4 separate regions of the Mus musculus genome follow, and all the other regions are reported to be linked to region 1. The links are microRNA targets in miRTarBase. Many come from high-throughput screens and were not tested one by one. Region 1 holds a microRNA gene; each other region holds the end of a gene's coding sequence.
What was found. Region 1 holds the annotated microRNA mmu-miR-16-5p (UAGCAGCACGUAAAUAUUGGCG, at 3,159-3,180, opposite strand). A microRNA usually pairs through its seed, bases 2 to 8, with sites in the 3' UTR of a target mRNA and lowers its output. Matches are read on the target gene's strand: a 7mer-m8 pairs with bases 2 to 8, a 7mer-A1 pairs with bases 2 to 7 and ends in A, and an 8mer does both.

Region 2: the mRNA of Erlin2 is a reported target of mmu-miR-16-5p. Seed matches in the 3' UTR shown: 8mer at 2,774-2,781 and 7mer-A1 at 2,310-2,316.
Region 3: miRTarBase lists Irgq as a target of mmu-miR-16-5p. Seed matches in the 3' UTR shown: 7mer-m8 at 2,321-2,327, 7mer-m8 at 2,341-2,347, 7mer-m8 at 2,344-2,350 and 7mer-m8 at 4,740-4,746.
Region 4: miRTarBase lists Cadm1 as a target of mmu-miR-16-5p. Seed matches in the 3' UTR shown: 7mer-m8 at 4,578-4,584.

Annotation. Positions count from the first base shown.
Region 1 is chr14:61,628,778-61,634,693 of GRCm38, forward strand. It overlaps Mir16-1 (microRNA 16-1), which reads right to left and starts at 3,195; the gene lies at 3,103-3,195. Dleu2 (deleted in lymphocytic leukemia, 2) reads right to left here. Exons shown (of 7, transcript NR_028264.1): 4 at 3,660-3,706. Mir15a (microRNA 15a) reads right to left here and starts at 3,333; the gene lies at 3,250-3,333.
Region 2 is chr8:27,035,061-27,040,976 of GRCm38, reverse strand. It overlaps Erlin2 (ER lipid raft associated 2), which reads right to left. Exons shown (of 12, transcript NM_153592.3): 11 at 4,884-4,963; 12 at 1,540-4,544. The coding sequence ends at 4,341. Among named protein-coding and RNA genes, the nearest start is that of Plpbp, 4.5 kb to the left of the region's middle.
Region 3 is chr7:24,533,100-24,539,015 of GRCm38, forward strand. It overlaps Irgq (immunity-related GTPase family, Q), which reads left to right. Exons shown (of 3, transcript NM_153134.3): 3 at 167-5,501. The coding sequence ends at 1,388. Among named protein-coding and RNA genes, the nearest start is that of Irgq, 5.4 kb to the left of the region's middle.
Region 4 is chr9:47,849,757-47,855,672 of GRCm38, reverse strand. It overlaps Cadm1 (cell adhesion molecule 1), which reads right to left. Exons shown (of 11, transcript NM_207675.2): 11 at 2,288-5,401. The coding sequence ends at 5,283. Among named protein-coding and RNA genes, the nearest start is that of Gm10677, 35 kb to the right of the region's middle.

The DNA of each region.
Region 1 (5,916 bases):
AGTAGAGCCCTCTGAGGTTCTGGGTTTAATGACTACACACTGAAAGAAAACAAAGAAAACCAAAGGAAAACAAAACAACAGAAAGTGAAAAAGGAACAGAGGACTTGGAAACTGCGCCTAGGACATACTTCATAAACATACAAGCCAAGAACATGACCCCTTCAGTTTCTGGTGGACGAATAAGCTGTGCAGTAAAAGGTTCCAGGTATTAGAAATAAACTCATTCTAAGCTACCCCTTAACTCCTTGGAAGATGGAATGCATTAACGGTCTTTCATTTCTTCTCCAAGATATGTAAGTAGTATGTATAAATACATGCTGATCCAAATCTATTTAAAACAATTAAGGACATTTTCTTTTCTTTTTGGATGGTATTTAATGAGAAACAACACTGAGAAAAAATATATCATACAAGGATAGTAATATTCCTTTGCAAAAGGAAAAAAAAAAAACCAAACAAACCAATTTTAATTAGAATGTTAACTTGTAAAATTGTATGTGTAAAACTCTAGATCACAAGAGAACATCCACGTCTAATTATTTCCTTGAAAGATAACTAGTTATTAATGTAAATGTGTATAACTTTAATTTTGCTACTATTTATGATTCAAAAATAGTCACAAAGATAGAAATGAACTCTAGATTTCCAAGTCAGTGAAAATATATTTAAAATTTACACTTAAATGTATATTTTAATATATACAGGCGATTTCTTCCCTATGAAAAGTAGTGGGAAAAGTTATATACAATTAAAGTAATCTTAAGGAGTTTTCTATTGCTGTGAAGAGATATCATGCTTAAGTAACAAATGCTTACCTCAGTGGCCCACAGAGATTTGTAAAAGAGGCAATACCATTATCATATAAAAGCTTTAAATTTTGGGGCTGGAGAGATGGCTCAGTGGCTAAGAGCACTGACTGATCTTCCAAATGTCCTGAGTTCAAATCCTAGCAACCACATGGTGGCTCACAACCATCTGTAATGAGATCTGATGCCCTCTTCTGGTGTGTCTGAAGACAGCTACAGAGCTGGAGTGAGTGGGCCAATTGGAGCAAGCAGAGGTCCTGAATTCAAAATTCCCAGCAACCACATGATGGCTCACAACCATCAATATAGCTACAGTGTACTCATACACAGAAAAAATGCTCCAAAAACGGAGTCTATAGTTAATTAAATCAACTTGTTAAAACTTACTTAATTTTACCTTTAAATTAGAATTGAGTAGTGGTTCTTTTGAGGACAATTCCTTAAAAAATAACTGAAATACTTTTAGGATCTCCACAACACACGGTAGAATTAATTATGAACCTTTAATCTGAAAAGGTAAGAGACTCCTTGTAAAAAGTAATGACAGAGTTAGAGGACATTATTGTGAGATAATGTGTTTTCTTGAACATTTTAAAATAATGACGTAAAACATTTAAAATAAAGCACATGGGATAGTTAAAAGAACATTTCCGGGCTGGTGAGATGGCTCAGTGGGTAAGAGCACCCGACTGCTCTTCCGAAGGTCCGGAGTTCAATTCCCAGCAACCACATGGTGGCTCACAACCATCCGTAACGAGATCTGACTCCCTCTTCTAGAATGTCTGAAGACAGCTACAGTGTACTTACATATAATCAATAAATAAATCTTTAAAAAAAAAAAAAAAAAAAAAGAACATTTCCTTTGAAATAATTAAAATATTCTGAATATATTTATAAAATTAATGACTGTTAGCTTTAATCTGAAGTTAAATATTAAGGCACAGATGAGATGTCTTTCATACTTTTGACTTATAAAAATCTCCTGTTAAACATTTTAGTGAAAAATAAGAAAAACAGTAATTATTAAGTTAGAAGATATAGGATTTATACCCTAATATGTCATAGGTTGCAAATTAAATTTCAGATTGTTTCCTCAGTTAACCAATAAAAAGGTCAGCTATTCTAAGGATTCTTCTAAATTTAAGTTTAAAAATTCAACGTACACATTTTAGTGTTATTCTCCTTCATTTAAAATGAAATATTTAGGCACATTATACTCAAGATTATGTTATAATCTGTAGCATTTCAAACTTTATCTGTATCTAAAGAAAACTTCAAATCAAGAGAAAAGTATTTTTCTATTATAAGTAATAATATGAGTTTAAATTCATGTACAATTTGGTACTTCCTAAACTCTTTCAAATAAACTTTTATATGGAAATGCTGGAAAGAGAGCTCGAGCCTTGGTGGTACTGGGTATATTCTGTACCACTGTAGCTCTCAAGAAACTCTGGAAAGGTGTTCAAGACTTAAAAATACTTGTTATATTATTAGTCAGTGCTCCATCTGTGGATCCAACCAACCACACATTCAAAACATTTGGGTGGCCAGGCATTGGGGCCTACAGTTTTAAACAAAGAATTTGGGAGGCGGAGGCAAGAGGATCTCAGTGAGTTTCATGGCAGCCTGGTCTACATGGTGAGACCCAGGCTCAAAAGACCAAACCAAAAAACTTATTTCTTGGACAAAAACTGCATTAGTACTGAATTGTACAGTTTTTTTCTCATCATTAAGAGAATAACTTGAATAATACAACTATCCATGTTAACATCCCACTGCACTACACATTAAAAACAATGTAGAGATAAGTTTAAATAAGTATAAGGGAGGATATGCACTGGTCACGAGCAGACATTTTATACAGGAGATCCAAGCATTTACAAATCTGGGTATCTAGAAGTCCTATAATCAGTTCCTCACACAGAAGTCATTATGTTTTGTTTGTTTTTAAAAGACAGATCCTTACATAGGTCTTAGACTTGCTTTATGGCCAAGGATGATGTTAAGCCTCTAATTCTCTTTTTTCCACTTCCTCAGATCTAGGATTACAAGTGTACCTGGTATGCAGTGGTAAGGCTAAAACCCATGGCCTTGTGCATGCTAGCAAGAAGCACTTGGCCAACTGAGCTGCATTACCATCCCACAATTATATAGTATTTTAACAGACACAATATGTAGAGCGTTGTTACTAACATCATTACAGAATCATACCAAACATAAAATCACTAATGCAATTAGAAAAACCGTGTAAACACACAAGTAACATCAATACACATTGAATTACAGTTGTAGAGTATTGCCAACCTTACTTCAGCAGCACAGTCAATACTGGAGGTAATTTCAGAATCTTAACGCCAATATTTACGTGCTGCTAAGGCACCGCTGACATTGCTATCATAGGAGCTATGAATAAAAAGACAGGTACTCTCTTCAGAAGATCAGGTCCTTGTATTTTGAGGCAGCACAGTATGGCCTGCACCTTTTCAACATCCACAAACCATTATGTGCTGCTACTTTACTCCAAGGGTTGGTTTTGAAAACTCCTAGCACCTCAATAGTAATTTACAGAAAAGGCTTTTTAGGAAAAAGTAGAACACATAAAATCTATGTTTGAAAAAAATCTAACACTGGTATGTGCATAATTTTATAGGCTTTCAGCAGAATAAAAAGTATTTCCATATCATAAGTTTAATAAAAGCGTACAGAAAACTTAATACAGTGCTGTAATTTATTGTAGTCATGAAACGAGAAAAGCAAGTCATTTTCCCATACCAACTTAAGAACCTCATTTATTAAACTAACAACTTTTGAATGTGCTTAACACATGAAATAGCTACAAAAGTTGGTTTTTACCTTATTAAGAGCAGCACATCTTTCAAAGCCAAATCCATAGGACAAAGCTTCATGTTAAAGGAAACATGTAAGAACAAACATGTAAGAGCTCAGTTTCAAGAAATTTATACTAGCAAAATATTTAGAAGACATACACATGAAACATATTCCCCAAAAATATATAACCCCCAATCTACACATGAACACAAGATTTATCTCAATATTGGAATAGTTATTGTGAGTTCAGTGTCATTTATTATTACCCAGAACATCATCTTAGGATAACAGGTCTATTTGGTTTCCTAAAAGGATATATCAGAAATCCTGTAGCTCAAGCCTAAGTAACCATTTGTGTGTTTCCCAGTTAAAAAGGCTAGTCCTTTAAAGGAGTATCATTTTATACCACAGGACTTTGACTTAGCTGAAACAAAATTTTTACTACGTTAAGTTCCAACTTCATTTTATGTGTGTGTGAATATCTAGGTTTTCTTACACTATTAAGAAGACTCTTTTCTGTTTAGTGGGGGACTTAGCCATCCCTTCACAAAGAACTGTTCTTATTATTCCAGTTCATACCAGATTTTCCATTCAAACTAGATTACTGTGTAGCAAATGTTTTCTAGTGGGTCAATGCCATTTCTCCATTCCCGTTCATGTTGGGTCATTTGAAATATCAAAACGTCTTTAAATCTTCAAACCTTTGCTTTCAAGTGTGCCAGCTTAAAAAAAAAAAGTCTGAAAATAAAGATAAAAGCTGCTAAAAGTGATTTTGTCCTTTATCTTTATACAATGATTATAATTTCAAATTCAGTGGTTTTTTGAGAGAGGTTTTGAGGACAGTGGCTGCTGTCCTGCAATTCATTCTATAGACCAGGCTGGACTGGAACTCAGAGATCTATCTGCCTGGTTTCCCTCCTGCATGCTAGGATTAAAGGCGTGCACCATCATGCCCCGTTCCAAATTCAGTGGTTTATATTCTGGCCTAAGGACCAAAATAATTTTTCTTTGTTGGGTTTTTACATAGTTCAACTTTTTACTAATGTTCTTAAAAGGAAAAAAAAGCCATTCTGAAAAGAAAACAAAATGTTTTGCTTAAGAAGGTAACTTGAGTGTACATAGGAATACATGGCAATCTTTAAATACCTGAAATTAATATTATTCGTATAAGAAAACAGAATTTTACAACAATTTAAGAAGATAGATCAAACCAAATTGTCCTATTTCCCCCTTCAACTCTATTTGTTTCCATTAATATTTTTCTTTAGAAACATTTACTTTTTACCTTATAAAACTTCTAATATTAATTCATCTTGTTTCCATAAAGCTTAGCACTTCACAAACATTTATAGGCATGTTGCCCAAGCTATATCATCATCTTGACTGCATCAGAATAATGGGATACTTTTTGAATTTAATAATAAGCAACCAGTAATTTGTTGGAGCACAATGACAGAATACAGAATCTGAGGTCCGAACCCTGACACTGTCCTTTGAGTGTCTCCCATGGCTGTTATTCTAGTACACTGACCCTTTCTGGTTCCCTATCTGCAAATGAACCATTAACATACATATAAGCCTTTGTAGGACGCTTCTGAACCATAGCCATCTTATGAAGTTGTCTAAGAACATGGAGAAAACACTACCAGGTTTAAGTTCTGATGACAGAGCAACAATTCTCAGGGCACAAAAAATCTACTTAAATAGCAAAGCTAAAGGCATGAAATACTGCAACAAATTTGGGAAGTTAAAAGCTGGGTATGTTAATATCTTTGATGTGGCAATAATGCCACTATAAAATCTTTGGAACTGTTTCTTCTCTAAACATTTTAAATTCCTAGTTCTAAAATTTGATATGTGAAAAGTGACAGAATCATTTGTAGGGCATACTACTAAATAGTTAAAAATTCCATTTCCATGTGATTTTTTTCTAGGAAAATGAGCTTATGTAACATATTTGAAAAAGAAATTGTTCTAACAACAACAACAACAACAACAACAACAACAACAACAACAACAACATACCCAAATTTTATTTAATGGCTATGAAAGGAAAACTAAACTGATTGTTTAGGCCAAGTCAGGTATGGTGATCACTGACAACTGAATATGTATTTCAATTTGCTCATTTTTTACATGGAAATTTTTGAAATTCAAGTTGCAAGGCTGCAGAGTTACTCAGTGGTTAAGAGCATTTTGTTGCTGTAAAAGACCCAGGTTCAGTTCCCAGCACCCACATGGAGCCTAAGCACTTCCTCCAGCACGCACTGCAGACATACAC
Region 2 (5,916 bases), not on the chromosome of region 1:
GGTAGTAGGGAGGTGTAGTGTGAACTGCTATATCTCCTGTGCCCATTACCAACGGCGACAGCTGTGGTCACCTGTGCAGGACTGGGGCTGTGAATGAGGCGGGAGCTCCTGAGGATCGTGGGACAGCTGTGCTTACTGAGGAAGGGGAGCCATATTTCTCAGTGGTGTTGCTACTAGAAAGTTGCCCTTGCCTAAATAACTCACAGCTCAGGCTTATGCAAGCAACCCTACTTAAAAGAAAAATAAAACGTAGGGGAACAGGATGATGTGCCAGAGGGGTGATATCTAGGGAAGGCTGCCCCCTTTTCATAGGAAGGGGGAAGGAAGAATGGAGGGAGGAGCTGTGTGTGTGTGTGTGTGGGGGGCCTGGGAAGAGAGAAGGGGCTGATATTGGAATATAAAGTGAATAGATAAATAGTAAAGAAAAATAACATAATTCATTAAGTAAACTCAGTTTTAGTGAATTTTTTTTTTTAAGTAAGAAGGGGGCTTGATGGGAAGAAAAGTTTGATGGGAGGGTAAGGGATTAAGATGCTAATGTGTGTGTGGGGGTTATGGTCAAAGTGCAAATTGTGAAAGAACCATTTTCAAAAAGAAAGGAAGCACAGTGTAAGAAAAACATAAGAAAACAACAATGAAAAACATGGTGGGAAGCGCACGCCTTTAATCCCAGCACTCGGGAGGCAGAGGCAGGAGGATTTCTGAGTTCAAAACCAGCCTGGTCTACAGAGTGAGTTCCAGGACAGCCAGGGCTATACACAGAAACCCTGTCTCGACACCCCCCCCCCCAAAAAAACCCCCAAAACCAACCAACCAACCCCCCCCCAAAAAAAAACCAAGAAAACTATGTTGTGGCAGGGTGGGGGAGAGGGAGATGGCTCAGAGGTTAAGAGCACTGGCTGCTCTTGAGGAGGACCCTGCTTGATTCCAGCAAACAAGGAACAACTCAAAACTGCCCCGTCCGGGAAATCCAATGCCCTCAGCTGGCCTCCATAGGCACCAGGTATGCATGTGGAATACAGACATACATCAGCAAAATACCCTATACTACATACACTAAACCAAAACCCAAACCAAGATATCCCAAACTTGTTATTTAAAAGAAAATATCCAGTTAAATGCAAATTTCAGATCAAGTGCAAATTCTTCTATAAAAGTAGGTGTTGTAAAACATTTGGATGGTATATAGTTTTTGTAAAGTTCACTGACATTAACATTTATCTAGTGACACTAGGCGAGGCAGCTTGCCACAGCCAGTCTGGGAGTTACCTACTTAAACTGATATTACATGAGGTTAGGGTCAACTGGGAATGCCTTTATCTTCTGGAGAAATGCAGCAATGTGTTAATTCTGTTTGTTTTTGCCATAGTCTCACTATGCAGACCAGGCTGGGCTCAAACAGATCCTTCTCCTCGGGTGCTGGAGCTAAAGGCATGTACCAGCATGCTGGTAAGAATCTATATTACCTGGATATATTTTTAGGGAAAGCCTAAGAAGGAAGTTTGATTTCTATCACCTGTCCTCCAATCTACTGGTAAATTTTACCTTAATCAAAAAAAGACAAAAACATTTTATTTAGCAAGACTGAAATTAAATCCAAAATGTAAGTATATTCACATTGAGACCTTTTTTTGTTGTCTGAAACAAATCCTGGAGCTATTAACCCAAGGTAATTTATCTAGTGGTATCATTTATGGAATAATTACTATAACAAGAATCATTTCTCAGTTATAAAGGCTCATTAATGCCCTTGGGGCACACTGAAAAAATTGCTTTAACTATTCAATCACCAGTTTACACAGAAGTAGAGATAAAAAGGAATGGAAGTACAAACACATGATTGCCCATTACAGCTTTTATAAGGAAACAAACAGTGGCTAGAAGCCCACTGAGGACAAGGAAGTAGGTAAAGTTCCCAGACAGAGGGGCTATTGTCCAGGTAGTTTACCGACGGCCAGCTGACGACAGCCCAGGTCAGTAAGCACGGCTATCTCACTTTCACAAGACACACGGCCCCACAGGCCGTTTATACACCTCCCTTTTCAGAGCACTTCATTCCTCCTCAGTACCCACACTGAGTCCTCCACACCTATTTTTAGTTATATAAAAATTATTAAACTTAGGCTTCCTTACAAACATTCTAACCATATATTGAAAAGTGATTAAAAACCTATATGGAATATAAATTGCTTCTGCAACATTTAGTGAGTGAGAAGCATTCTACCAAGGTGGCTGGGCCTTGGGAAAGTCCTACAAAAACTGAATTTTACAAACGGTTAACGTATTTTGATAGAAGTTCTACTTAAAAATAGCAGCTATGAATTCACTGCCTACAAAACTGCAGGCTTATCACATTTTACATGTTTAGAATTCAAATGCCTAAGTCAGATTTTATAGTATTACAAAAAACAAGGTCATAAAGACAGATGGGCTAGGCATCCCATGCTAAAAAGACATCTGAGTTCCATGATTTTACTGCTGGGACAGATACCAATAGCTACTGAATTTATGCTATGACATGGGGACATTTCTGTTCTGTTAAAGAAGTGACATTAAAGGGGCAGGGAAGGAGCAGCTGCAGCAGGACTTTACTGTGGCTCTTTGTAATGGAGGGATGAGCTCTCAGAATGCTAGTTACAGAGCCTCTCGGGCTAGGAGGGCGCTGGATGGCGGGGTACCCTCCCTCCTGCACCGACTCCACTGAAGTAGTGTTTTCTCAGGTGCACGTACAAGAGAGGATGCTGGGTATAGCACGTTGCTCTCAACAAGTGGTTAGCAGCAACAAATGAGAAGAAGATGAGTTGGTCTTGGGGAAAAAAACCCACTTTTGCAAGAGCTTTTGAGCACATTAAAATGTCCTTTTCAGGAACATTTTGTAGTTTGTACAGTGTGGCCAGGGTCAGTGGCCTGAGGAGTCAGGACAGAGAAGGGAACATCTGAAGTAAGCACAGTGAACCCTGCCTCTTTTTGGGTCGGCTGAATGCTTCCCAAATACCTGACAAGTCTGGTGCCACTTAGGAGCAAACTGGCCCGACTTACAAAACCAAAACTGAGGTGGGAATTGATGCCAGAAAATACCATTTATAGTAGTCACCTAAGAGAGAACAGTAGGTGCTTTGTGTGGGGGGAGGATGAGGTAGGGGACCAGCTAACAAGGCCAAGTCCTAAGCTAGAGCCAGTCATGGTTGCACAGGGTACTGCCATGTCTGCAGATTACCTGCAGAGCTGCCCTCCACAGAGGCATTCTGTGTGCACTCACAGGCCATGGTAGAGCCCCACCCCCAGTGCAATTTCAGGATAAGAAATCCCTTTCTCTCATATCTATTCTTCGCATTCTCAGTTTCCTAGGGTGACTCACTGGAGCCGACTCTCAAGTGGCTGCCTGCTCTCTTCATCAGTGTCAGACAAAGCCCCAGCACAGGCCACAGGCACTACTACTTGGGTGTCATCTGGCTGGGCCCTTCTCCACAGTGTTAAGGGCTCTTCAATGAAGAATCTCCATAATGATAAAGATGTTTGGTCTCAAAAGCATACGCATAATTAGCCACACAGCACCACAGTGCTAAGGGGTATAAGGAGCTACGTCATCAGCTAACAGCACTTGTTTGTTCCCATCTTAACGCTGAGTGCAACTCATGAATAGATTATTCAAGAAGAAATGAAATCACAGATCAGGTCAAAGTACGGAAAAGGAGTGTGTGGTGTGACCAAGCCCTGCTGCGGTGAGATGTAGCCAACAAACACTAGAGCAGAGTACAGTGTGTAGAAAACCTTGCAAAACCTAGCACCAAGTTCTTCCTAAAAAGGGCTCAAGACAGCTTAACTCTCAAGTAATCCACTCAGTCAAAAAGCCCAGCCGGCCAACGCTCTCTGCAGCTCATGTTCCGCAGCAGACGGCCTTCTGTCACGAGCCCCACACGCAGACACTGCCTACACTAGAGGCAAGGGAGAGAACTGTGGAGTACACTTTTCCCTGAAGGAATTCAAGCACGAGGAGGCAGCACACACTCTCCCTCTTCATACTGACAGTAGCTCCACTTAAACCAGCTTCAAAGTGACAATGTTGGTGTCTGCAGGTCAGAGGTCAAATCTACGGTGCATACACCTTCTCAGAAGTCATACAACTTACTTACCTGAATTAAAAATAAACCCAAAAAACAACTCTCCATCTGCTCTCCCTTCCCAGAAGGGGGTAAGTTTGTGTCCATTTCTTCCTTTTTAACCACAGTAAGAAGAGTCAAGGAAGGTAGTGTGGAAAGGAGGAGCGCTTTGCTCTGTCTCATCTTAAAGAATACAGCTCTCTCTAAGCTGCCCGAGCAGAGCTTGCAGACAGTGTTTCCTCAGTTCTCCTTTGTGGGTGCCTCGAGGGGCTCATCTTCTAGGCCAAAGCCCAGCTTGTCGTCGCTCAGCCCCTCAAACTGCTTGCCCAGCCCCCCTGCGGAATCCATAAACATGTTGGGGATGTCTTTGCCGAAGTAAATCTTGCTGTTGGAAGCAATGGCCTTGTACTTCATCAGCTGCAGGTATTCTGGAGTCAGCTTGAGCTGTGATGGAAGTGAAGAGAGCTTAGGGAGGGGACACCAGAGAGGAACTTCATCTGGGGAGGGCATCTGTCAAGCAGACATGTGTTTGCATGTCTCATGGCCTCCCTGTTACCCAGAAACCATTTTTTTCTGAGAGAAAATAATCTAAGGTCTATGACAGAGTAGCAACAGTTTCCAGAGTTTTCCTGTTCAATACAAAATGAAGCTTCTATTAAGGCTTCCCACACAAGAGAAGCGCTGTCTAACCCAGCAGAGGGTCCTCAGTTCTGTTGTGAGGGCTCTGGGTAGCGAGCGGCAGAGGCAACACCTCCTCAGGACGGTGGGTCAGGCGCCCTTTACCTTATTTGCTTCTGCGATCTTCAGCGCTGTGTAGCACTCAGCGTCGGCCTTCGCCTTCTCCCGGGCCAGGAACGCAGCATCTAAGGGGTGAAGGGTGCAGGGAACTGGATCAAGTACAAAACCATGGGAGGTACAGTCTGGGGGCTGGCAATTATAGCTCAGTGGTATAGACAGCACTTGTCCAGCACACATAAAGTCCAGGTTCCATTCCTGGCACTGCAGAAAACAAAAACCCAACAAAGACACTTTCTGGTCTCCATGGCCTTGGAGAGATTGTTTTGTGTGTGTGTGTGTGTTTTGTGTTTGAAATGGTCTCACCTTATAGCTAGGCTAGCATTGGACTATGCAGACTTCCTGTTAGTACAGAGAAACCAATTCTCTAAAAGAAAGTAACGTGAGATCTTCCCGACAGTGCAGCAAGAGCTTTGGTTTACTGCAGGACACCTCCATCTGGCTTCATCATACATGATGTACACTATGCATATCATATGGTGTCACCCTGACCCTGCCTTTCCAGTGCTGGGATTACAAACATGCACTGCCTTGCCTGTTCAATACCACAGATGACCCTTTCCAACTTCATCTCCCCAAAGTTTCTAACAGTGATGAGGTTGGCTAACTCTAGATTCGTGCATGCTGGTCCAGAGGAGCGCTGTCTGGTTCAGACCTGCTTCAGCACTTCATGTAGCAGTAACCCTCCGGCTCAGTGATGATGCCCAGCTCAGCTTTGAGCCCTGTGGCCCGGGGATGCGCCAGCTGCACTCCAATCACATTCACAAGGAAATATTCAGGGGCAATAATTAATTGGGGATGCTGGTTTATGGTTGTTTTTGTTTACTTTCCACCATTTTAAAAAAATTAAAACCTTTTCATTATTACAGTGTTTATTTACTGAGAGGGGTGGAGCACGGACAGCATGGCACATGTGTGGAGGTGAGAGGACAACTTAGGGAACTCAGGTCTCTCCTCTGCCATGATCTAACTCGGGCTGTCAGGCTTGGCAGTGAGTGCTTCCGTTGCTGAGCCATCTCAG
Region 3 (5,916 bases), not on the chromosome of region 1:
GCCACCACGCCCGGCCGTGCCTTCTTTCTATGTGCATTAGTTCCCTACTTAAATTCTTGAGATTCAGAAAGATTTTTTTTTTTCCCGTAATTGCTCGTTCAGCCCAGCTTTTCCTACTTTTAAAGCTCTGTTGCCTTTGACCGATCTCCCACCCTCTCTCCTGCAGGCTCCTGCCTCCTGCCCAGGATGGCTTCGAGGTGTTGGGCGCAGCCGAGCTGGAAGCTGTTCGTGAGGCCTTCGAGACCGGTGGCCTGGAGGCGGCGCTGTCGTGGGTGCGCGCTGGTCTGGAGCGCCTGGGCAGCGCACGACTGGACTTGGCGGTGGCCGGCACCACCAATGTAGGCCTTGTGCTAGATATGCTGCTGGGGTTGGATCCTGGAGACCCAGGTGCTGCGCCTGCCTCAGCACCCACTGGGCCCACCCCTTATCCTGCTCCAGAGCGCCCCAACGTAGTGCTCTGGACCGTTCCCCTGGGCCCCACGGCCACATCTCCTGCCGTCACCCCTCACCCAACCCACTACGATGCCCTGATCCTTGTCACCCCCGGGGCTCCCACAGAGGAGAACTGGGCCCAGGTCCGCTCATTGGTGTCCCCAGATGCTCCACTCGTCGGTGTGCGCACGGACGGCCAGGGCGAAGATCCACCCGAGGTTCTGGAAGAAGAAAAGGCCCAGAATGCAAGTGATGGGAACTCAGGGGATGCACGCAGCGAAGGAAAGAAAGCTGGCATCGGGGACTCGGGGTGCACTGCCGCTCGGAGCCCGGAGGATGAGCTATGGGAGGTGCTGGAGGAGGCGCCTCCGCCCGTGTTCCCGATGCGGCCCGGCGGTCTCCCAGGCCTCGGAACCTGGCTCCAGCACGCACTGCCCACAGCTCAGGCCGGAGCTCTGCTGCTGGCGCTGCCACCTGCAAGTCCCCGGGCGGCGCGGAGGAAGGCGGCTGCGCTACGGGCAGGGGCGTGGAGGCCAGCCCTGTTGGCTAGCCTGGCGGCGGCCGCCGCCCCAGTACCAGGGCTGGGCTGGGCTTGCGATGTGGCGCTTCTCCGGGGACAGCTGGCCGAGTGGAGGCGCGCGCTAGGCCTCGAACCCGCGGCCGTAGCACGACGTGAGCGCGCCTTGGGCCTGGCTCCCGGAGTACTGGCAACGCGCACGCGCTTCCCGGGCCCGGTGACGCGAGCCGAGGTAGAGGCCAGGCTGGGGTCCTGGGCAGGTGAGGGCACGGCGGGAGGTGCAGCGTTGAGCGCGCTCTCCTTCCTATGGCCCACGGGTGGTGCTGCGGCAACAGGTGGGCTGGGTTACCGTGCTGCGCACGGTGTACTTCTACAAGCCTTAGATGAGATGCTGGCTGATGCGGAGGCGGTGCTGGGACCCCCAGAGCCCAACCAATGAGGTGTGCGGTGGGGCTTGGGGTGTCTGGTGACTGGTTTTGGCCCCACAGCCTCTGAGATTAAGAAGTGACGTTTTGTTATTCAAACCCGGAGACTTGAAGGAGACTGACATCTCGTTGAAACGTGAGATTTACAGTCACCCGATTTCCTAGGTACTGAATGGGAGTAGGGTCTATGCGCCAGAAGTGTGTCATCCAGATACCAATGCAGTAAAGGGAGTTGAGGGCCTGGGACTCAGTAGAAATGGGAGCTTCTTGGCGTCCCGCTGACACCTGGTCATGGATCTCTAGAAGCCTTGATCCCTGCCTGCCTGTGAGCGAAACTGCGGGGAGATAGAAGCCTTGGAGTGCTGGCTCCCAAAAGGAAAGAAGTATAAGTTACCTGATGAAAGAACAGATTTTTGTGGGAGCTGTGAGAGCCTTAGGAAAAGTCTGGTTCCTAAGAAGGCTGTGGTTGCCATTTCTTAGGTGGCAGGAAGCCCTGTGGAGACCAGGGGCCTGCTGGAGACCCTTTAGTCTCTTGGAGTGCAGAAGATTGTCAGTCATTTGCTCTCCAAAGCTTTGGTGTGGACGATAATGATCCACAACATTGAAGGGAAGGGACAAGGGAGTGTGTGGGTAAGGTTGTCTTCTGACAGCTAGAGCCTAGGAATGGGGTCTTTAGGGTATGGAAGATTAGAAACCCACACTTGGAAATACTTCCCGTGGGATCCTGGCAGCTGCCTCTCCGAGCTTTACTGGGAAGGTGTGACTACCCCCATTTTATAGGTGCTGGGTGATTCAGGGTCTCTGGCATGCACGCTCCTGTTTCTCTTTATTACTGGTTTCTTCTGTCATATGGACCTTAACTGCAGGGCCTCAAAGTGATGGGCTCCTGCTGTAGCAGTCTATGTGGTTTTTCTGCATGACCTCTTCTGATTTCTCCCAAGACACCTGCTGCTGGTCCACATAGGATGCTGCTGCTGTGTGTGTGTGTGTGTGTGTGTGTGTGTGTGTGTGTGTGTGTGTAGGGGGTCCCCCTCAGGATAGCTAGGTAGGCCTTTGATGCCGTGGGAAAGTGCCTGGAGGGAGGCATAGGCAGAAACCACATCGCTGTCAGTTTTGTAGCTTTGTGCAGGTAGGACCACGGGGTTCAGAGATGCAGGCCAAAGGCTCATCAACACAGCGGGACAGTGTGTGGCCTGGCCCTGCCTCTTCTCCATTTTCAGCCCATCTCCAGCAAGCCTGATGCCAAGGTCCCACCTCAGGACTTATGCATTTTCTGGTTTTCTGTGGGACACTCTGCCTCCCTGTCTTTTTTTGAGATAGGGTCCTCATCTGTCAGGTCTCCCCGAAATGGCTCTATGGTCACCCAAAGTAGCTTGCATTGATCCTGCCACATGGTAGTCCCTGTAGTGAACATTACTACCAATGGCTGTATTCTCATTCTCTCACTTGCCTGTTCGTTGGCTCTTGCTCCTTGCTTGTCTTTCTCTTGGGTGTACCCTAGCACCCAGAGCAGTGCCTGACACACAGTAGGTGCCTAGTATTTATTTTCTTAGTTTACTGGTCACTGGCACATGGCCTGGAATTCAGGTTGTCATAATCTTGTTACAAAGAGGGAGAGAAGCAAGCACCTGGTGGGAGAGCGAACGGTAGCAGCAGCTTGGCCGCTGTCACTACATGAACGAGGGCCATGTATTTTCACCTGGTCGATGAAAGGACTGGGCTAGACCCATAAGAGCTTCTGAGGGCTAATCAGAAGCCTGCACAGCTGGGCTTTGCTCCCATCTAACCCTGAACTCTCACCTCTGACACCATCCGCCCTACGAGGAGGCACCTTATTCGGGCGTTCATGCCTGTAATCCCCGCACCTCCGGTTGACACAGGAGAATTTGAAATTTAAGGCAGTCTTCGGTGAGAGAGGATTGCAGGCCTGTAAGCTATGCGCCTGTTCCCACTAGAGTCTAGACGGGCCTTGAACTCCACACGGTCTGGAGCCAGCCTGATACTAAGTCCTTGATGCTTGGGTTGGCCAGCTTTGGCCCTGCCTCAGCCTCCCCAGTGCCGGGATTATGACTCTAAACCATCCTAGATCAGCCTGACACTCTTTTCACTAAATCATCAGAACCAATGTGTTCCTACACCCAAGCACACCTCATCACACAATACACCTAATTGGAAATACTTGAACTGATCAATGGAGGGCCCAATTCACATACCCGTGTTTCAATTATATCGATAAGTTCCCCCCAATCATGGGGTTTTGATCAGTGCCTCACATATTAAAGGCAAACACTCTGCTGGAACCATGTACCTAGCCCTGTGCTGGGCTGCAGGTAGGGTTCTGGGCAGGGGCTCTACCACTGAGCCACGCCCCCAGCCCCTCACTGGGGGATTCTAGGCAGGGGCTCTACCACTGAGCCACGCCCCCAGCCCCTCACTGGGGGATTCTAGGCAGGGGCTCCACCACTGAGCTACATCATATTTCAAGACAAGGTCTCACTAAGTTGCTTGGGCTGTCCTTGAACTCACTTTATTCCAGACAGGCCTTGGAATTTGGGATCCTAACCCCTCAGCCTCCCAAGTAACTGGGATCACAGGCCTGCCTCACCTCCTGGCTTAGTAGTTTTCCCTGAACCTGTGATGTTCCAGTGGGTCAAGTACAAATAGAATCTGAGATGGATTTCCCCCCCCCCTCGGTGGCTTTATCCACATACTTGGATCATAGTTCAACAATACAGTCTATTGTGAAAAATCATAACAGCATGAAAGTGAGACATTGCAACCACATTTGGGAAGCTGAGAAATCTTTGTTTCACCCCAGGACCACAGCGCTATGGAATAGTGTTTCAAACAGTAGGTTTCCTCGCCTCATTTAACATAGTCTAGGCACTCCTCCACAGCCATGTCCAGGGTGAACGTAAATTCTGTCAGTTAATATTAACCATCACAGCAGGCATCTAAGAACTTGCTCTGTTACATGTGCACATGTGTGGCTAAGCATGCACACACTGGCATGTGAATGTGCTCACACACATACCCAGCTCCCAGGTACTGCAGCCCCCTCTGAGAAGCTTGACACTCAAATGCTACTCCTCTACTGCCTGGGCCCCACTTCCCTTGGTCTGGCTACAGTAACAGCCAAACTCGGTCTCCTATTAAGTGTCCTGAGCTCTCTAAACCCTCCATGTCTTTTCTGGTATTTTGACATAGCTTAGGCTTGCCTTCACCTCGGCATGTAGCTGGTGATGGCCTTGAAATCCTGATCCTCCTGCCTGCATCTCTCCAGTGCCAGGGTCAGGCACGTGGCATGATGCCCTGCTCTCACTGTGGCTTGCTTTGGTGCCACCTGGCATCCCCGTCCTGTGCTTTGCTGCTCTCCCTTCTTGAGGCAGGAGGCCCATGCTAGATGCATCGAAGGAGCATATTGTAGCCATTGTGTGTGTCCTGGTCAGCTCCATAAACTTGTACAGGGCACTTTTGTGTTTTGTGATTCCTTGCCCATTTTTGTTCTGTTACTTGAGATAGAGGATCCAGGCTGTCTCAAACACTTGGCGCCAGGTGCTTCTCCGGTCCTAGCCTCTCCTTGTCCTGGGTTACAGGTAGAGGTGGCTGCCTTTTAAACTATGATCTCCCACCCCCACCCCTGAGATAGGGCCTTACTCTACAGCTCTGGGCGTCTAAAGAGCTGGGATTACAGGTGTAAATGACTACATATGTTGCCCATACAATCTTTTGTTAGGATTTTCAGGCTTTTCCAGAATGTAAGCAAAGCAGATAGCCAGGCCCCTGGAAGCCTCCAAATAGGAAAGGTTCAGTCTCCCTCGTCACAGGCCACCTGCTGCCAGCAGGGTGCTCCCATGAGGCACCTCGGGTCTGAAAGAGCCTGGGCGCAGGAACTCTGGGAAATGTCAGTCCTCCATGCTGGAATTGCAGCTACACAATCTTGGCATTGCCCTTGAAAGACGAGCAGGTTTCAAACGTTGGTGAATGGATGAGGTGCCCTCCTCAACATGGAGAGAGTCTCACACTTCTGGCTCATGAAGGAGCTGTCTGTTGGAATGTGGGGGACAAATCTGTCTGGTAATCCTGTGGTGTGTTTTGGAAAAAAGAATAAAAGGGTAGGAATGCTATTATGTGTGTCTTCTATTTAATTTATTAATTTTAATTGTGTGGGTGTGTGCTGTGAAAGATGCAGTTTTCACCTGCTGAGCATCTTCCCTGCCGGGCAAGGTGGTGATTTTCAAATGCTTTTAAGTTTGTGATGGCCAAGCAGCTGAACTCTTGAGCCAGCGTGACCCACTGTCCCCCAGTCCAGCCTCTCCGTAGACAAGCACATGGATGCCCTCTCTCAGTCTGGCTCTGGATTTTAGCCACAGGGACGACAGCAAATGTGATGCAATCAGAGGCTTCAAGAGTGCGCATGAATTGAACTTCCTCTCTGCTATCCTTGGGCTCCCTGCTGTCACTGCCACACTGAAAAGCCTACAAAGCTAAGGGTTGGGAATGTATTCCCTTAGAACCTCCCAGTGAGGGGCTGGGGGTGTG
Region 4 (5,916 bases), not on the chromosome of region 1:
GGTATCTTGGCAAACAGGTGCGTTAGGAATCTGAGGCCACATTTTATAACACAACAGAAATGTCTTACTTAAGGAGGGTCTTGTGGTGACTGCTTTAAGGGTCTGGATGACAGACTCCGAGGAACAGCTCTCTATAGAGCAAGCCCATGGTATAAAAGTAACATTGCAACTAGATAGGGGACAATGAAAGATTGCACCAATTAACACCTGGATACCACCTTGGGGTTCCAGTTGATGTATTTGGAGAACACAATCAGGCCAAACATTTTCGAGAGTCCTCTAGAGGAAGCAAGGACTATATTTTTTGTGTTATACTAAGAGGGACCCAGGAAACATATCCACTGTGTAGTAACTCAGTGGCTTGAGGCTCCTTCTCATTTGCATGCCCTACTGTGCTTCAAGAGCCAAGCTACCACCCAATATTTGCCTCAGTTTGATGACCAGCAGGGTCGCTGCTCTGTGGGCTGAGGTTGAACCTGGAACCTCATGTTATAGGCAAGGAGATGGGTAAGGATATCGCACGTACAGCATGCCATGTGGCTCAGAGTAACTACAAATAAGTATATTGATGAACCATGATGAGGAAGTCCTTAAATAGTCTATGCAAAAATTCACAAAGGCATGAAGAGTCCACACAGATAGTTTTCTCCAAGGAGTGGCCAGTTCTTATAGCCACAGGCAACCTTGTCCTTCTAAATCAACATGTAATGAGTGCTTACTTCCTATCTGCACCTATACTGCCTAAGCACCAGTTTATCATCGTTCTGGTGTGCTGACGATGGAACTCAAGACCTCATGCTTGCTTTGTCACTAATTTGAACTCCCAGCCCAGGACTGTGTATCTATCTATTCTCTGTCCTCTAATGATCTCTGAGGTTATAACGTATAATCTTGCCTCACCCAACAAAAGACAAAGATCAGGTGCCTTGGGTAACATGCCGGAGGCTTCACTGCTAGTAAAGGTGGGGCAGTTATCTAAAACCAAGATGGGTCTACTTTGGCTCTCAAGTGCTATCCTAAGTTGCCCTTGTCCTATAGAGATATGGTAGATCATCTTCCCTGTTCATCTTTGCTCTCTGGCAAAAGCCGGAGAGGCCAATGGATTCCCTTAGTTCTGCCTAGACTATGAGGATGGGCACAGGATGGACGCCATTCATGAGCGTGTCACTCCTCACATGGCCACCTGCTGCCTGGGTGCACTGCCTTCTGCACCTAAGTCACTTTTCTTCTCTAATGTCCTTGGAAACCTGACCAGGCTCCTGCCTCTTCCACTGAGCAGGCTTGCCAGCTTCTGTTTATCCCCCTTCCCCAAGAAATCCCTACTGGTCTGTATTATTGCCCGGGGTGTGGCAATTACCACCGAGGTCACTTCACTGAGGTAACTGGTACCTTAGTCTCTTGTGGCCACTTACAGATATCGGTGTCCCCCACAGCCCCACAGTGTCGATGTGCCAGACATTTAGTGACTGCATAACTGATTCTGTTGGTGATGTTTTGCTCGAGAGACAGACCAGAGACCAGACCATGATGTTAAAAACCCCAAATGAGATGCCCGGCCTTTGTCTTTCCTGGAGCTTACCTTGTCTCTCCCTGCCACACCTTCCTGGTTACCTGACAGACAGAGGGGGGACTCAGCGAGAGCTGGGTGAACGGTGAGAAAGGGCACTTAGGGGTGGCCAGGTTTGTGCTCGTGGACAACAAGTGTGGTCATTGCTAACTTCGCCTGCAAGGCAAGGATGGTGATTCCATGCTGCTGGCTCTCCAAGTCTACCCGGGCCTGAAGTCTCCAAGACCTAAACGGTAAGTGAGAGCAATCCGCAGGCAGCCGACCCAGCAGCGCATCTCTTCATTTTGTAAAAGGAGAGAACTTTAAAAGGAAGAAGGCAGTATGAATTGTTAAGACTCGGACTCCCAAAGAAAAAGGCGGGTGGAGCAGGCAAAACAGGGAAGTGAGTGGGTGGTGGGTGGAGGCGGGGAGGGTGGTGGTGGCCATATCCACAGGAGGCGCCTTCCCGGGCAACTGTGCTTCGCACACCTGCACAAAGCACCGCGCCTACTGCAGGCAACTCTGTTCAGCCGAACACCGGATTCTCCTGTCTACTCTGAGGGTGGAAGAGGATAGGATAAGGGTGAGAAGGAGAAAGAGATAGAGATAGATAGAGAGAGAGAGACCCAGCTCGCAGCCACTTCCCAGCCACCAGTGCTCTGGGCCCCACACAAGGTCCTAGGAGAGGAAGCTGGGACCAGAGGCCGTGTGTTTTAAGAATCCAGAAAGAGATTTAAAGGATCACTTGTAACATTAATTTTTTTATTAAGAAGACAGATATTTTATAGTACTTCTTTTTTTTTCTTTTTTCTTTTTGTAAAAATGGTATACATGAACCGATACAAAATGCGAATGGGAACACACGGATGTGGAGTTTCTTACACTGTAACATGGTCCTTGTACACCTTAGAAACAGAACTGGCCTAGAGGGAAAAACAAGACGTCATCGTGACTAAAGAACAAGCTTATTTGGCATCAATTATACATCCTTCATTATTTTATACTCCTTTAAAAAAAACACAAAAAAAACCCAAGTTTGTTCTTTCTTCACTCTAAAAAAAGTGATCAACCTGTACAAAGTAATACTCAACAATACATTTCAAACAGTGCACTGTATACTTAAGAAAAATACATAAACCAATATACAACTAAAATCCATAATTTCCTGTTTTTGCTTTGTTTTATTATTATTATTATTATTATTATTTATTATTATTATTATTTTTCCAATGTGTGGGGCCTACACTTTGCAATCTACCTGAGACGGAAAAACACCAATTGAAACACAGGAACCTGAGACATGTCAACATTGTAAGCCATAAAGTTACATCAGAACACTGCACTACTGTACACTTGTCAAAACAGAAAGATGGGCGGTCCCGAAAATGAGATGCCAATTCTGTGAACAATGGTAGTTTTTTTGTGTTTGTTTGTTTTTTGTTTTTTTTTAAATATTTTTTATATATATTTTTTTTCTAAAAAGAACAGCTGAAAAACCCTTTCAACGACATGCTAACTGGTTGTCACCCTTTGATATGGTCACTATGGTCAGGATGGGTGCTAAGGGCTCGGAATAGATGCACATTATAAAATTTTTGAAAAAGGGATGTTCCTTGTGGCTTTTTGTCTTGGTTAAGTGCCTAGGGGCAGGAGAGGGGTTAACAAAACACTGCTCCATAATGAATTTTCCTTTACAAACCAGTCCGTTCCCAAAAGGCCCCCATATTGCAGTGGTTCTATCAGAAGTTAAAATAAAGACAAGAAAAAGAAATACGCTTTCAAAGAACAGAGTCGACACTTTTTTCCCCTTAAATAAATCAGCGTAGGTTTTCCACATAATGTAACAATAGTAAAAATGCACCTTGCAAAATCCAAAAGTACTGACTGAAAATGTTATATATAATATATATTTATATATTTATATATATAGATAGATCTATCTTTTCTGATGCCATCTTTCCAGAGGGGCTGTTTTGGAGTCTGGAGCTTACCGACACGTGTGGTAAGAGTTTAGGTTCTGTCCTTCAGAACTACTGCTAGATGACCCCAGCACTTCTGCAAACCCCCACTTAGCTTTAGAGAATGCAAAGGGTTCCTTTGCGCCTCTATCTTTCCTCAGGCTCCGGTGTAAGATATGTTCACGGAAACTTATTTTAGTAGCTATGCGCTCTGGCTGCCATCATGCGAGATGAGTAGTTTTTGGCAGATGGTTCTTAAGGCTGAGGTAAGAGGCCAGGCCTAGTGCACGAAAGACAGAAACACTCACATTTTGAGTTTTGATTAAGTAACTGGAAATCCCTATATGCCACTTTCCCACCTCGACTCTGGGCTCTGACCTTTCCAGAACAAAATTGGCCCTTCTTTTGTACCTCCTGCCTTTGTCAAGCCAAATCTGAAGGAATGAGAGGAGTTGGGGGTGGGAGCTGGGAATCCCAGCAGGACAAGTGTCCCAGCAGGACGGTGTCTGTAACATACAGTACACACAGGACACAGCCCACTGCCGTCCTTAATAAGAACAAAGGAAAACAAAACAAAGCAAAACAACCCAGAACCAAAACCAAAGTGGGGGTAAAAAAAACCTAAACAAAGCCTGTCCCCTCCAGTCAGTCACACGGCACACGGACTTGCTCTCTCCTGCATTAGTGAGCAGTAAGGCCAATTGGGAAAGGTGGATGGAATTGTTGAGAGTAGAAATAATCAGAGCAGAACTGTCGTACCCCCTCCCTGCTTCCCCTCCTGTGACATCTCAAATTTGTCCACTTACATAAAACAGACAGACCTCACATGTCGGGTCTGTTTAGGGCAACGAGGAAGGAGGAGACCTTTCCACTCCAAAAACTTTCTGCACAGCGTGGGGTAATCTATACTGAGCCGCCTACAGATAAAGAATTAACGACAGATTCAATCTCATTGCGACACACCTCACTTGCAGATAACCCTGTACAGTAATGAAGATCCACAGCAGACGACAGCGTCTGGGTCACAGTCTACGTTTCTAGTCTTCGCTGCTCTACGTATTTAAGACATGGGCAGCAGCAAAGAGTTTTCAGTGTTTTCTTTTTTTTTTCTTTTTTTTTTCTTTTTTTTTTTTTTTCTTCACCCAAATCTTTACAACAACAGAGAAGGATGCATCATGGAGACACTAAATTCTGAACTATGAAATCTAAATTGTGCTGGTTTTCCTTTTATGAAACTGAATTTGGAACAGAAAGCAGTCACCGTTAACACAAATAAAAGAAACTGGCAACAGGGAGAAAGTCTTAGGAATTCCAGCAGGTCAATTCCAAAAAATGGGAGGTTTGGGAGGGGGAAAAAAACAAATTTGATTTTGGGAAAAATAAATGGGCAAGAGGGAAGAAACACAACAAACGAATGAAAAACAAGGCACAGAATTTTCTGCAATCTACCGAAACCAAATCCAAGTACCCAAGTTTGACTTGGTAGGAAGAAATATAAATGAAAAAAACAAAAAACCAAAAAAACCCAAAACCCAAAGCAAATTAAAACCAGATTAAAAAGAGGTGTCAAACAGCAGAGTGTACTTTCAAAGAACATTCTTTGTTTTTGTTTGTACATTGCAAATCCCAAGCCTTCCCAGTCTCGCATCTCTCCACCCACTCATAAAAAAACAAAACAAAACAAAAAACCACACGAGCTTCTCGAAAGTTCCAGTATCACTGTCTCTTTATCATCTAAACAGGCCAGTTGGACACCTCATTGGAACAAAAAGGCTGATCTAGATGAAGTACTCTTTCTTTTCTTCGGAGTTGTTCTGTCCTCCTTCTGCATTGATTATAGCTGTGTCTGCGTCTGCTGCGTCATCGGCTCCTTTGGCTTCATGAGTGAAGTATGTACCTGAAAGATGAAGGGGTAAAGCACTGTGACTCTCTGGTGGCCTCTGTGAGAAGTGGTACAGAGATGGCAAGTTGCTTTATGGCCATCATCAGCCGAAGTGGTGTGCAGGCAGCAGAGGGGGGAAAAAACAATAGGAAGAAGAGAGCAGGGTGGGTGAGACAGATGGGAATCCGGGCTCCAAAGGTAACCACTCCAACTGAGCCGCTGCGATGTAATTCAGCAAACGAGACATTAGAGCAGTGATTATGACCAGAGAAGAAGGCGTGAGTGGGGCTAAAATGCAGAAAGCTGGAGAGCTGCTGACTACCGAATTAACAGTGAACACCAAAGACCGATGACAAGAAATGTTCGCACATGGTTAAAGACCAAAGCAAGGAAGAGCAATTAGCCAATAAATGAATTAGGGCCCCAAAGATGCTTCTACTGCCATCTTGAACCAGTTACTCCAACCATAGTCTCCTGGCTTCATGAATGGCTACTGGCTACCCACGGGGAGACTGTGATGCGCTGGGTAA